Coturnix japonica: one gene and its partners. The protein of the gene in region 1 purifies or fractionates together with the protein of each later gene. This does not show direct contact. Links are inferred from orthologs where the notes say so. Each region holds a gene or a part of one and is shown on either strand. Other genes may lie near its edges. The genes, in order: FOSL2, COP1 and cyclic AMP-dependent transcription factor ATF-7.

Region 1 (3,647 bases):
AGTCCTCCATGTGAGCCTCCTGTTCTCTCCATTCACTGTGTCTGTGTCACAGGTAATGAGCTCTGCCCTTGCCAATGAGCCCTTGGGCTCCTCTTGGTCCCCCCTCACCAGCTCCCAGGCATCCCCTTCCCAACAAGGCAATTGTGCATGTTTCCCACAGCCCATCCCAAGAAAGATCCTTTAGAGTTCAGAACAACTGGATGAAATGTCATAGGATCGACAACACTGGAAATTATAGGCAGAGAAAGAGAGGGGAGGAAAGAAGAAGTTGTAAGGTAACTAACCAGAAAGATCTAAGCACAGAGCATAACTGATCAGATCAATTCACAAAGCAAAGGGATGGCTAGCAACTGTCTGCAGCTCGCCTTCAGTCCTGGCCAGCAGTGCTCTCCAAGTCCACTATGGTGCCAAGATGAGGTTTCCACCGGCAGACCCTACAGAGGAGAAACTGCCCTCTCCACAATCAGTCCTGGTGCATCAGTCCCACCCTTGCCGTTTCCTGCCTCCAGAGAGCTGGCGTTGGCCCTCACTCTCTTTCCTGGAGCTGCAGCATTTCCCCATTCTTGTTCTTGCTGCCCTTGTGCTTGAACGATCCTGTGCCTGTCTCTAATCCCATGGAGGGGTCTCCCCATGGAGCTGGGCAGGGGATGTAACACACTGGCAATGGGGGGCCTCAGGGGATTACAATGCCAGCAAGGTGGGAGAGTTCAAGGAATCCGAGGACTGGTCGCCGCTGCTGCTGCTCCTCCGGTGAGCTTTGGAGCAGGACTCAGACGGGGAGAGAGGAGACTCCTGATCCAAGACGTTGGGGTAAGTGAACACCAAGTTGGAGGAACCAGGAGTGATGGCTGGTGTTGAGGTCACCACGATGGGAGTGTTGAGTGCCTCCTCCCCATAATAACCTCCAGCAATGCTGATGGGCTTAATGACAGACCTCTGAGCTTTGTCAAGGACCAAGGAGGAAGATGGGATCTCTTCCTCCACGGGCTCCTGCTTCACCACCACTGCTCCGCTCGCTCCAGTCCGAACGCTCTGGAGGCTGCTGGTTGGTGGGCTCCGACGTTCCTCGGGGCTGATTTTACACACAGGGCTGTGAGCAACCAGCATGAACTCTAGTTTTTCCTTCTCCTTCTGGAGCTCAGCAATCTCTTTTTGAAGGACTGACTTTTCCTCCTCCAGCACCTCAGTTTCCTGCAGACAAAAAGGGAATAAGTAAGTATCTGAGGTTCTAGCACTGCTCCTGACCGAGAACATGGCCATCAAGTCCAGCTTCCAGCTGGTGTGGGCAGATACACCCCAGCCTCTTCATGAGCTGAGCAAGCACCAGGTGTTTGCTAGTTCAGCGTTATGCACTTCCTGTGTTTACCTAGAGGCTATTTCCAAACTTCACTAATCTAAGGGAAATAAATAGTCTTCTCATGAGCCCACCTTTGTTATATCATGGACAGTTACTACAACTCTTGGGGAAATATAGCCCTTGCTACCTACATGAGAGACATCTTAGCAGGGAGGACTCAGATCCTCTACCACTGGGTTCTGTATTAAGGTTAAGTCATGTTCTTTTCATTTCCTAGATATAGATAGTATAAAGCTATCTCTCAGCTGTTTTCATTTTCTTTCTGTATCTCATACCCTAGATGAGGCCTTGCCTGTGACTTGTGCAAAAGATTAACAATTTCACCTCCACTGGATTATCCCTTGATGCATCCCAGGATTACTCCATTTACCTTTCCCCTGATCACGTAACACTGATGGCTCATAGTCAATCTGCGAGCAATTAGTATTTTCCTGTGTGAGGAGCTTGCAGAAGTACTCACCCTCAATTTGTCAGGATATGACCTCCCAGTTTGTACTCCTCTCACTTAATATTAGTTTAGTCATGAGAATCCTTACATTCTTCCTATAAACTGTCCAGCTTCCCCTGCACTGAGAATACCTCCCAGATTTGAGTCAGCAGCACATTTCACCGATGTGCTTTCACAGCAGGGAGATGCACGTTGGTCAGCAGGCTCTATGAGAAAAGACCTCCTAGGATGTTTTGGGCAGCCAGCGAAAAGAAATTAGGCTGCTGAGCCCTCACCACTGCTGACACAGGAGCAACGCCACTGGGCAGCCCTGGAGGGGGAAGGCAGCATGCATTTTACAGCATCTGCCCCAGATAGGTTGGTAGAGAAAGAACAACACCCTGCAAGCTGGTCCAAAGGGCAGGCAGCAAGGAGGGAGAAATGCATGCAGAGCACGTACCGCCTGGAGTTTCTCTGTTAGCTCTCGGCGCCTGTTACGACATTTAGCAGCTGCCAGCTTGTTCCTCTCTCTCCGGATCCTTCGCTTCTCTTCTTCCTCGGGCGACAGCTATGGGCAAGTGCCAAGAAAACCCACAATCAGATCTGAGCAAGGCATTCCTTGAAGTTTGTGAGGATTTAACCGCAGCGCAAAGAAAAGAAGGCCTGATCCAGCAGGATGCTCAGCACTCCCCCTCTCCACTGATGTCAGCAGAAGATGAAAGCGCCCAGTATCTCTGCGAGCACCAGGTCTTAGCAGAAGGGTGAGGAGAAGGCAGAGTGGGGAGCAGCGGGGGGAGATTGTGTAAGAGGACAGTGAATCTGCAACAAGGCCCAACAGATAAAAGATGCTCTGATTGTTTCACAACTTGGGTGGTACATTAAGCAAAACCAGAGTGTGATGTTGTAAGCGCCTCTTTCTTGAAAGAAAATATCTGCTGCTTCCCACACAAAAATAGTTGTTAACTTGAAGGTCGGGGATGGGGTAGGGGGAGAGGGAGATCAGCAGAGCTCTCATGATGTCTGTGAAGCAACAATTATTTATACCATCCCAAAATCTGACCTCAGATTTTCAAGCACTTGGAGCGATAACAGACTGCTTTTCACATCAGCAGGCAAGGCTCCAGTGATACCAAGGGCTTCCTGAGGCCAGCTGACATCCCCACTGATGTAAGTCAGGAGCGATTCCATAGAAACCCAGAGTTACACTCTTGCGACACCAGAGGAAGCGAGCAGGAGCCCACAGGATCTGGTGAGGTCAGGCCTAGCTTTGGGGATTTGAGATGAGCTCTTATAAACCCCAGCAGTGGCAACCAGAGCACCCACACCACGTCCTGCTCTGCCTAAGTCTGACCTTACACTGGCATTACTGCGACCGAGCCCAGAACCAAGATGAGTGCTCTGCAGGGCACTTGTTGGCAAGGGACAGGAAAAGAAACAAAAAAAAAAAAAAAAAAAAAAAAAAAAAAAAAAAAAAAAAAAAAAAAAAAAAAAAAAAAAAAAAAAAAAAAAAAAAAAGAAAAAAAAAAGAAAACCCTCTTCTCATAGAAGCTTTCAGTTTTAGTATCTTCAGAGATGTTAAAACTGCAAACGAGATTGTCTTCCTGCTGCCTTTTAGCGTTAGTTTTATTCTAACCTCATTTTGGTTTGTTTTGGTTTAGTTCATTTCCCTAATTTTGATCTCCGCAGTTTCAGGGAGTTTACTTCAGCCGCTGGGCATTCCCCTCTCTCTGTTCTGCTTTTTGCAGGCTCCTCTGCACCGTGGCAACAATTTCACCAGCAGGCAGCGCACCTCTGGGCACACGCTAAGGGACAGAGAAGCTTCTGGTGCTAGCTGGGACTCTGCAATGAGGACTTGGGGCCTGA
Region 2 (3,647 bases), on another chromosome or scaffold:
AAACAAACAAACAAGAGGTTGCTGATAACGAACATGTTTCCATCAACCTCCTTTGCACACAGAGCTAATATATCTTATCAACTCTCTGTTAAAGAGAGCAGAGTTCTCCAAGTCCAGTGTATTAAATGCTAAGGAGTTACAGCAATGCAAACCAGGCACCTTTGCATTCTGTTGGTTCATACCATCCTTTTTTTAAGAAAACCTCAAGCTAAACTGCACACAAGGGAACTAAACTTCAGGTCAATCCCACGTTCCACTTTTAAATATACTTGAAATATCCCTTAAAAATACCACCGGGTTGCTTTTGGGTTGTTTCTCTATTTTTTGGTTATTGGGTTTTTTGTTTCCTTGTTTGGAGGGGTGAGTTGATGAGGATTACCTACTGATAAGTCATTTTTGCTTTGTATTTAAATGCACTTGTGTCAACAGCAGCAGCTAAGCAGTAAGACTTCTCTTTTTGACTTTTATTTCATTGATGCTTCTGACCTACTAATTTGGCTGAAGAGCAGTGGTGAACAACTGAACATGTTGGCCAGCAAATAGTACATATAAACTCTCGATTAACCAGTTCAAACTTGGAAGGAACTGTCTGGATAGCCAGAAGCAAACTGGAGTTGCAGTGGAAGCACATTTGGCAGCATTGTTTTTACCAAGGCACTTAAGGACACACTCAAACGCAAAATGTCTTAAGTCAGCCCACACACTGAAACCCCTAAACATCCCTTAAATGCTTTGATAAAACGAAAGGCTTAAGCAAGGGAGAAACACAAAGGTGGAAGCCACACTCTTGGGGGCTTAAATGTGTTGCAAATTAGGTAACTACAGATTCTAGCACTAGCTTGGATGGAGGCCCCACTCTATCTTCATTTTTAACAACAGTAAAATACCATTCAAATGTATATTTCACCCAAGAATTATAATACCTTCAAAACCGGAGCGAGATTTACTGCCCTTCCAGTATTTTCTAACCAAATACCACAAAAATGCTGTTCTTGCAGAATGTCAAGGAGAAGAAAGGGCAAAGGAGAAAAATCCAATCCATGCTGAAGTTGGTAGCTGAGGAAGTTTGTCTACGTTGCAGTGAGATTCCCATCTGCATTTCATTGCAGCCAGCACGAACCCAATCAGCACAGGTTAAATACACGTCAGATCAGTGATTATTGTGTTCTGACCTCTGTGACTAAGTCGGACATTATACATTCCTGCTACATATTGCAGCAGTTAAGGGATCAATGCTGCTTTAAAAGAAAATATGTATTTTATGCTACACATGCCTTGGCTTCTCCACATAACACATTTCTTGTGGTCTTTCAAGAAACAGTCAAGCTGTTCTGTCACTGTCTGGATGGCTCTGTCATACAGCACTAGACCAAGGCTCAAAGTCTGAGTTCAATTCATCATGCCATTGTAGCATTACTTTCAAGACCCCAGGTATGGCCACTTTGGAATTCACGCTCCCTACCTACAAATTAGGGATGATGCTACTTCTACAAATGCATTTAAATCTGTTAAATGTGTCCCTAAGAATCTTGTGTGTATTGCACGTATGCCATACAGGGAAAAAAAAATCCCAATTAGCACATTGCATCATCTTTCCCAACACCACCAACAGCTCTAACCAAGTTACCACAGACTAATTAAATCCCCCAGGGAATGCTTCCGCAGCTGCTGAAGTCAGTTTAAAGTATGGCCTGCTGGCAGGTCGCAGCTTTTCCCTATCCCGTGTGCTTTCTCAGGCTTGATCCCTAAGGGAGCTTGGTTCGTGGCATGAAACTAGAAGAAACTGATTCTGTTGAAAGACATTTCACAGAATCACAGAATTGTAGGGGTTGGAAGAGACCTCTAGAGATCATCGAGTCCAACCCCCCTGCCAAAGCAGGCTCCCTACACCAGCTCATATGTCTAAACAAGTCCATTGCAAGCTCAGACCTTAGTGGTGCAGAAGACATGATCATCCCACGTGGCAGAAGGGTGCAGAGTTGTTGTTGGCACAAAGAGAATTATTATGCTGATTTTACCACAACCACCCCCTCACCAGTTTAAGCACGGCAGAAAGAGCTTCCAACACTTAGCAGAGGTCAAGCAATCGCAGTCACCAACAACTTAGCTATTTAATATTTGCCATTACAACTGGCTCCACAAACAAGATTTAATAACACCACAGATTCCTAACATTACCAGCATCAGGAAAAATGGCTTAAACTGCTAGATCTCCATTATTTTTAATGCAACTGTACCATGAAGAGGATCGAGCCTACAACAAAACCTTCATGTCTTACTAGAAAGGCTTCTCAAAGATTCCACACTTGGTTCTAATCTATATCAGCTGGCAGAAAAGGTACTACTGTGACTCTTAAGCACATTCACAGACCGATGATAACCACATGTTCATCACAAAATTATTTTGGTGTAGCCAAAGTGTTACACATGTATTAAACAAATTATGATCTGTACAAGCAATGAGCTCTGCCTCAGCAGCCTGTATCACCACGAAATGCACTGCTAGAGCCACCAAATTTCTCACCTGGAGACTATGCTGGAGCCATTGTAGAGGTCACTAGCATAGGACAGCGTTGCCAGGGGCCGGACAGAATTGTAGCGTGTGAACTTGGATAGACACTCCTGAAACTCATCCAGCTGGCTTGTGGTTCTGCTGTCATCTAGGGAGAGGTGGAAGAGTTGCAGAGGGTGAAAAATGAATAAGAAAGTAAATAAACACAACGGCAAACATGATGCGTGTCTTCATGTGTTACCACCTCTGCTTGCTATTTGGGGAGGATTCTTGGTCAAAAATAGGTTCTCTCTTTCATCTTTTTGGCATTCCCTCAAGGCAGCAGGATTTTCAGAGCATAAATTAAGTCCTTCCAATGAACCTACTGCATTGAGAATCTGCCTAGAGATCATAAATACGCTTTCCTGATAGATGAGCTCACTTATTTTAGTCAAATTCAAAGCCTACGGGCCATAAGGTTTATTAACAGAAAAGCCTTAAGCACATCAAATTGCACTGTAAAGAATGTCTAGCATTCTATGGAAGTGAAAAATATATTCCTTTCCCCCAGAACTGTACTTCAGGTACAATATGCCTACATTTGGTGTCAATTACACTCAAAAAACTTGTAGCAAGAAGTATTTCTCTTGTTACTCCAAAAGCAACAGAGCTGAGGGAGAGCTGTTTCACGGCTAGAGAAAGGAGACAAGCATGAAACCAACAGACTCCATGTGCTGTAAGTTTTGTGAAATTATGACCTTCAGCAGACAAGATGAAATTCAGCCAGCGTGAATAATAATGATGAATATTCTGTGGAAAATGGAACAGTTCGCTACAAACGTTAAAAGTAAATTACAGTACAGAGGGCTAAAAATGATTCCCCGAAACCTCACGAGTCTTAACTTTCTTCGGTACTAAAGGAATTTTATTTCAACCATTTCAAAATTTAGAGTTTCCTATATAAGGAAGAATTCCTAACTTACAGCCATGTCTCATGGACGAGCCAGCTTTCCTAATGTGATCAAGCAACGGCAGTCAAACATCAGGCAGAGCCCTCAGGCTTTGTAGCAACCCCCAGAATCTGCAGCAATTCCCCCTTGCCTTCCTTGCAGCTCTGACATGCAGCACCCTGGATTGCAGGTAGTCCAGTATGCAA
Region 3 (3,647 bases), on another chromosome or scaffold:
GGTTCAGTAACACCCAGCATTGTGGCTGGGCAGCTGCACACCTGAGGCTGAGCTGGTGATGGAGCGTCGGGGTGTTGGATGAGGATCTGGCTCTGCTCCGGGCGCGCGGTCACCATGGTGCTGGCTGAGCCCACCACCAGGCTGCTGCCGTTCAGGGAGGAAGACGCCGTCAAACTGGCCTTCAGCCTCTGAAAGAGGAGAACAAGGGACATCGGTCACCCCTTCCCCAACCTGCTGAGGCTTCATGCAGCTCCTCTCCCACCCAGGGAACCAGCTGACTGAGAAGTGACAGTGGTCGATCCAAAGCCAAGCGAAGACACTTTGGGCTCACCCCAAAGCGACTGATCCACCGCCCAGTGGGACCACACGGGGATGGGAAAGGGCTGGAGGATGGAGACCCATCTCCCCCTCCGGGCAATGGGGCAGGATGGCTCCTATCTCACCCCATGTGCAGCTCTGCCTGTCAGCCCCACAGACACCTGACTGATGGGAGCGATGGCAGCGTGGAATGGCAGGAGGTAGATCTGTAAGCCCCCGTTCTGACTGAAAACCAATGGGGTTTTGCTGCCTTTTGTTCTACAATGGAAGCCTTTAGCTGAAGGCTCTGCACAAAACCCATTACCCAGCTCGTCGGATTGCAGCGCAGCATCCCTGCTCTTGGCTCTGCCTTCCCCAAACCCACCTCCAGCCCATCTGTTACCTTGGAACTACGAGCAGCAGCTCCGTGCGACTCTGGGCTGAGCTTTGTCCCACCAGCACCGAGTGCAGCCCCACCAACACCTGATCCCAGCACAAACCTGACCCGTATCGCAGCTGCTCATTGCAAAAGTCATTGAGGGGGGGACGGTGCAGACGGAACACTCACCATTTTGGCTTCTGAGTGCACAGGGAGACCCGATGGGGAAACGGAGCCGCTGCTGCTGATGGGAGGCCCGGGGATGCCGGGAATGTTGGGCACGATGGACACGGGCCGTGCCAGCTGATGGGGAGGAAGCGAAGCAGCGTTAGGAGCCAACGAGCTGCGCAATAATTCCCCGACCGAGCGCATTTATCAGCCCCGACACAGCTCGGTGTTTAACTGCTGCCATCCATCAGCGCTGCTGTCAGCCCAGGGCAGCAGCCTCCCCTTTGGTGGCCACGGTTGCTGGTGAAGGATTGCCCGGCTGCAGCAGCCCCACACCTCCCTCCTCTCCCCATCCCTGGGTGGGAATGGAACGCTCTGATTACCGAGGGTGCATGGAAGCGTCAGGTCCTGCAAAGCAAAGAGATCTCTGCCCTCAGCAAGGGGAAAACTGAACCTGCACTTGCGTTAGCACGCCGCTCAGGTCCGCTGTTGCAAAGCACTGCAGCCCCAAAGCTGTGCCTGCAGGCAGCAGCACCGTGCAGGGATCTGCGTGCCCACGAGCTGCCTGCACTGACACAGATTTGGCTTTGATTTGCTCCAAAGCCAGAACACGCAGCAGGATCCGTGCATGGGGGGTAGGGGGGTGCTGGGGCTCTTGATGGGGCTCAGAGCTGCTCCTGAGCTCTGCACTGTGGGCAGTTCCAAAGCAAACAGCCCGACATGCGAGGAGAACATTTGCGCTGCGCTCCGTGGAGGCTTTGCTGGCCTGCAAAGAGCAACACGTTCTCTGCAAGCTCGGCTGGTTCCGCCTGCAGCACGTTGCTCCAAATGGGGGCGGTTTAGCAGCAGCTCCTGCAGCTCCCAGCCCCATCCGCGGCGTGACCATCTGTCTGGGCACGGCTTTGTTTCTCCTCCAGACTGATTGCCCTCTAGTGCGATCTCCCCGTCATTACTGCCTTGCCAGAGCTGCTCCCCCCATCCAAGCCCACCCTCCCCTCCTGCTCAAGCCTTGTTGGCGCAGGGGGGGGGATGCGTTTTAATTTCTACTGCATGGAAGTGCTTTGGCAGGGGGAAAAGCGCCGTCCCTCCATCCCTCCCTCCCTCCCTCCACCTTGCAGAGCTGTGCTGTATTTCCCTTACCGATATCACAGACGGCATCTGCATGGGGGGGCCGGGCAGGACAGGCATGGTCTGCCCGTTTGGCAGCTGCACGACGAGTGGAAGGGAACCAGTGGGCGACCTGCAAACACAGACCCAGGGTTTGAGGGTTATTTGGGGCCAACATTGGGAGCAAGAACAAACTGCAGGCTCTTCCCTTTCCAAAGGGCACATTGGGGGTGTAGGGGGTGGGGGATGGAGCCTCATTGCTACAAATGAAAACAACCAAGGGCTTTTTCCATTGCAGATGAACGGGCTCGCACAGCCCTGCCTCCATTTCGCTCCATCTCGCTCCATTTCAGAGCGCTGCACTCAGGCTCTGACCGACCTGCATAGGGAAAGGGGGGAGAAAATGGAGCAATGGATGGGGAGAGGAAGGAAAACATCACTGGAGCAACTCGTGCTCGGTGCAGCTGGGAGCAGGATGGTGTGCAGAGCAGCTGGGAGCAGAGCAGAGCTGCAGGGAGGGGAGGAAAAACGCTGCCCCCTCCTCCAAGTCCAGCACAAGGGATGGATGGGGGATGGATGGAGCCAGCACGGAGAGACGGCGGGGTGGGGGGAGCGGGGTCAGAGCGGGGGGCTCTGCGTGCCCATAACTCAGGCTGGAATTTTTAAGGCTGCCCTGGGAACGCCAACGCTCGGCTCTCATTCATTTCTATTGGGCATCCCAAATCCTCCAGGCTGCTTTGAAAATCCCAGGCTAACAAGGCGAGCTGTGGGGAGGTCACAGCCCTCCCCTCCATCTCTGTCTCGCTCACAACCCCCCCGCGGCCGCTGCGGCCCCACTATGGCTGCAGCCAAACCCCTCCCATGGAGCAAGGGGAGGGATCTGGCCCTGAGATCTGCAGAGGACACAAAACCCCATTGAAGCCCAGATTGCTCCAGTTTGATTTGCTCATGTCTCCATGTGAGGGGGGGACTCTGTGCCAAACAGCCCAGGTTACAGGCAGAATAGAGGCAGAACAGGGGCAGAATAGGGGCAGGACAGGGACAGGATAGGGTCAGGATAGAGGCAGAATAGAGGCAGGATAGGGGCTGAATAGGGGCAGGATAGGGGCAGAATAGGGGCAGAACAGGGGCAGGATAGAGGCAGGATAGGGGCAGGATAGGGGCAGGGTAGGGGCTGAATAGGGGCAGAATAGGGGCAGAATAGGGGCAGGATAGGGGCAGGATAGGGGCTGAATAGGGGCTGAATAGGGGCAGAACACAGGCATCTCCCGAGGGCTGCAGCCAGCAGTGAGCATCGTGCTGATGGATCTCAGGGCAAAAAGGAGCAGTTGATTGCTGTGCAAAACCAAACAGCTCCTGAGGCAGATGCTGAGTGTGCTGAGGGCAGGGGGCTGCAGAAGGGGCCCTTTAAATGGCCCCAAAGCCATTAAAGACACAGACAGCTTCCTATGGACAGCTTCGCTCAGCTCTCTGCTCTGCACCAGGCTGCAAAGGCAGCTTGAGAGTCCCATCGGTGTAAATGAAGGCTGTGCCCATGGAAAGCAGCTCTAACAGAGAAGGACCTGGGGGTTCCAGGGGCAACAAGGGTGACAGGAGCCAAAAGCGTGTCCTGGTTCACCTATGGTTGACCACAAGCCATCAGTGTGCCCTGCTGGCCATTAAGGCCAATGGTTCCCTGTGGTCACTGCACAGAGCA

What was found.
Region 2: the proteins of FOSL2 (region 1) and COP1 purify together in Homo sapiens (affinity purification with mass spectrometry; 3 studies listed by BioGRID and IntAct, counting the BioPlex papers as one, with this or other methods). This does not show direct contact. The link is inferred for Coturnix japonica from reciprocal best matches to the Homo sapiens genes FOSL2 and COP1.
Region 3: the proteins of FOSL2 (region 1) and cyclic AMP-dependent transcription factor ATF-7 purify together in Homo sapiens (affinity purification with mass spectrometry; 3 studies listed by BioGRID and IntAct, counting the BioPlex papers as one, with this or other methods). This does not show direct contact. The link is inferred for Coturnix japonica from reciprocal best matches to the Homo sapiens genes FOSL2 and ATF7.

What each region holds. Positions count from the first base shown.
Region 1 is NC_029518.1:24,459,886-24,463,532, forward strand, and holds part of FOSL2 (fos-related antigen 2), read right to left. Parts: intron 2,353-3,647; coding exon 2,245-2,352; intron 1,192-2,244; coding exon 682-1,191; 3' UTR 1-681.
Region 2 is NC_029523.1:4,925,407-4,929,053, forward strand, and holds part of COP1 (E3 ubiquitin-protein ligase COP1), read right to left. Parts: intron 2,661-3,647; coding exon 2,525-2,660; intron 1-2,524. UniProt on the Homo sapiens protein: E3 ubiquitin-protein ligase that mediates ubiquitination and subsequent proteasomal degradation of target proteins.
Region 3 is NW_015439867.1:313,215-316,861, reverse strand, and holds part of cyclic AMP-dependent transcription factor ATF-7, read right to left. Parts: intron 2,085-3,647; coding exon 1,985-2,084; intron 980-1,984; coding exon 866-979; intron 189-865; coding exon 42-188; intron 1-41. UniProt on the Homo sapiens protein: Stress-responsive chromatin regulator that plays a role in various biological processes including innate immunological memory, adipocyte differentiation or telomerase regulation.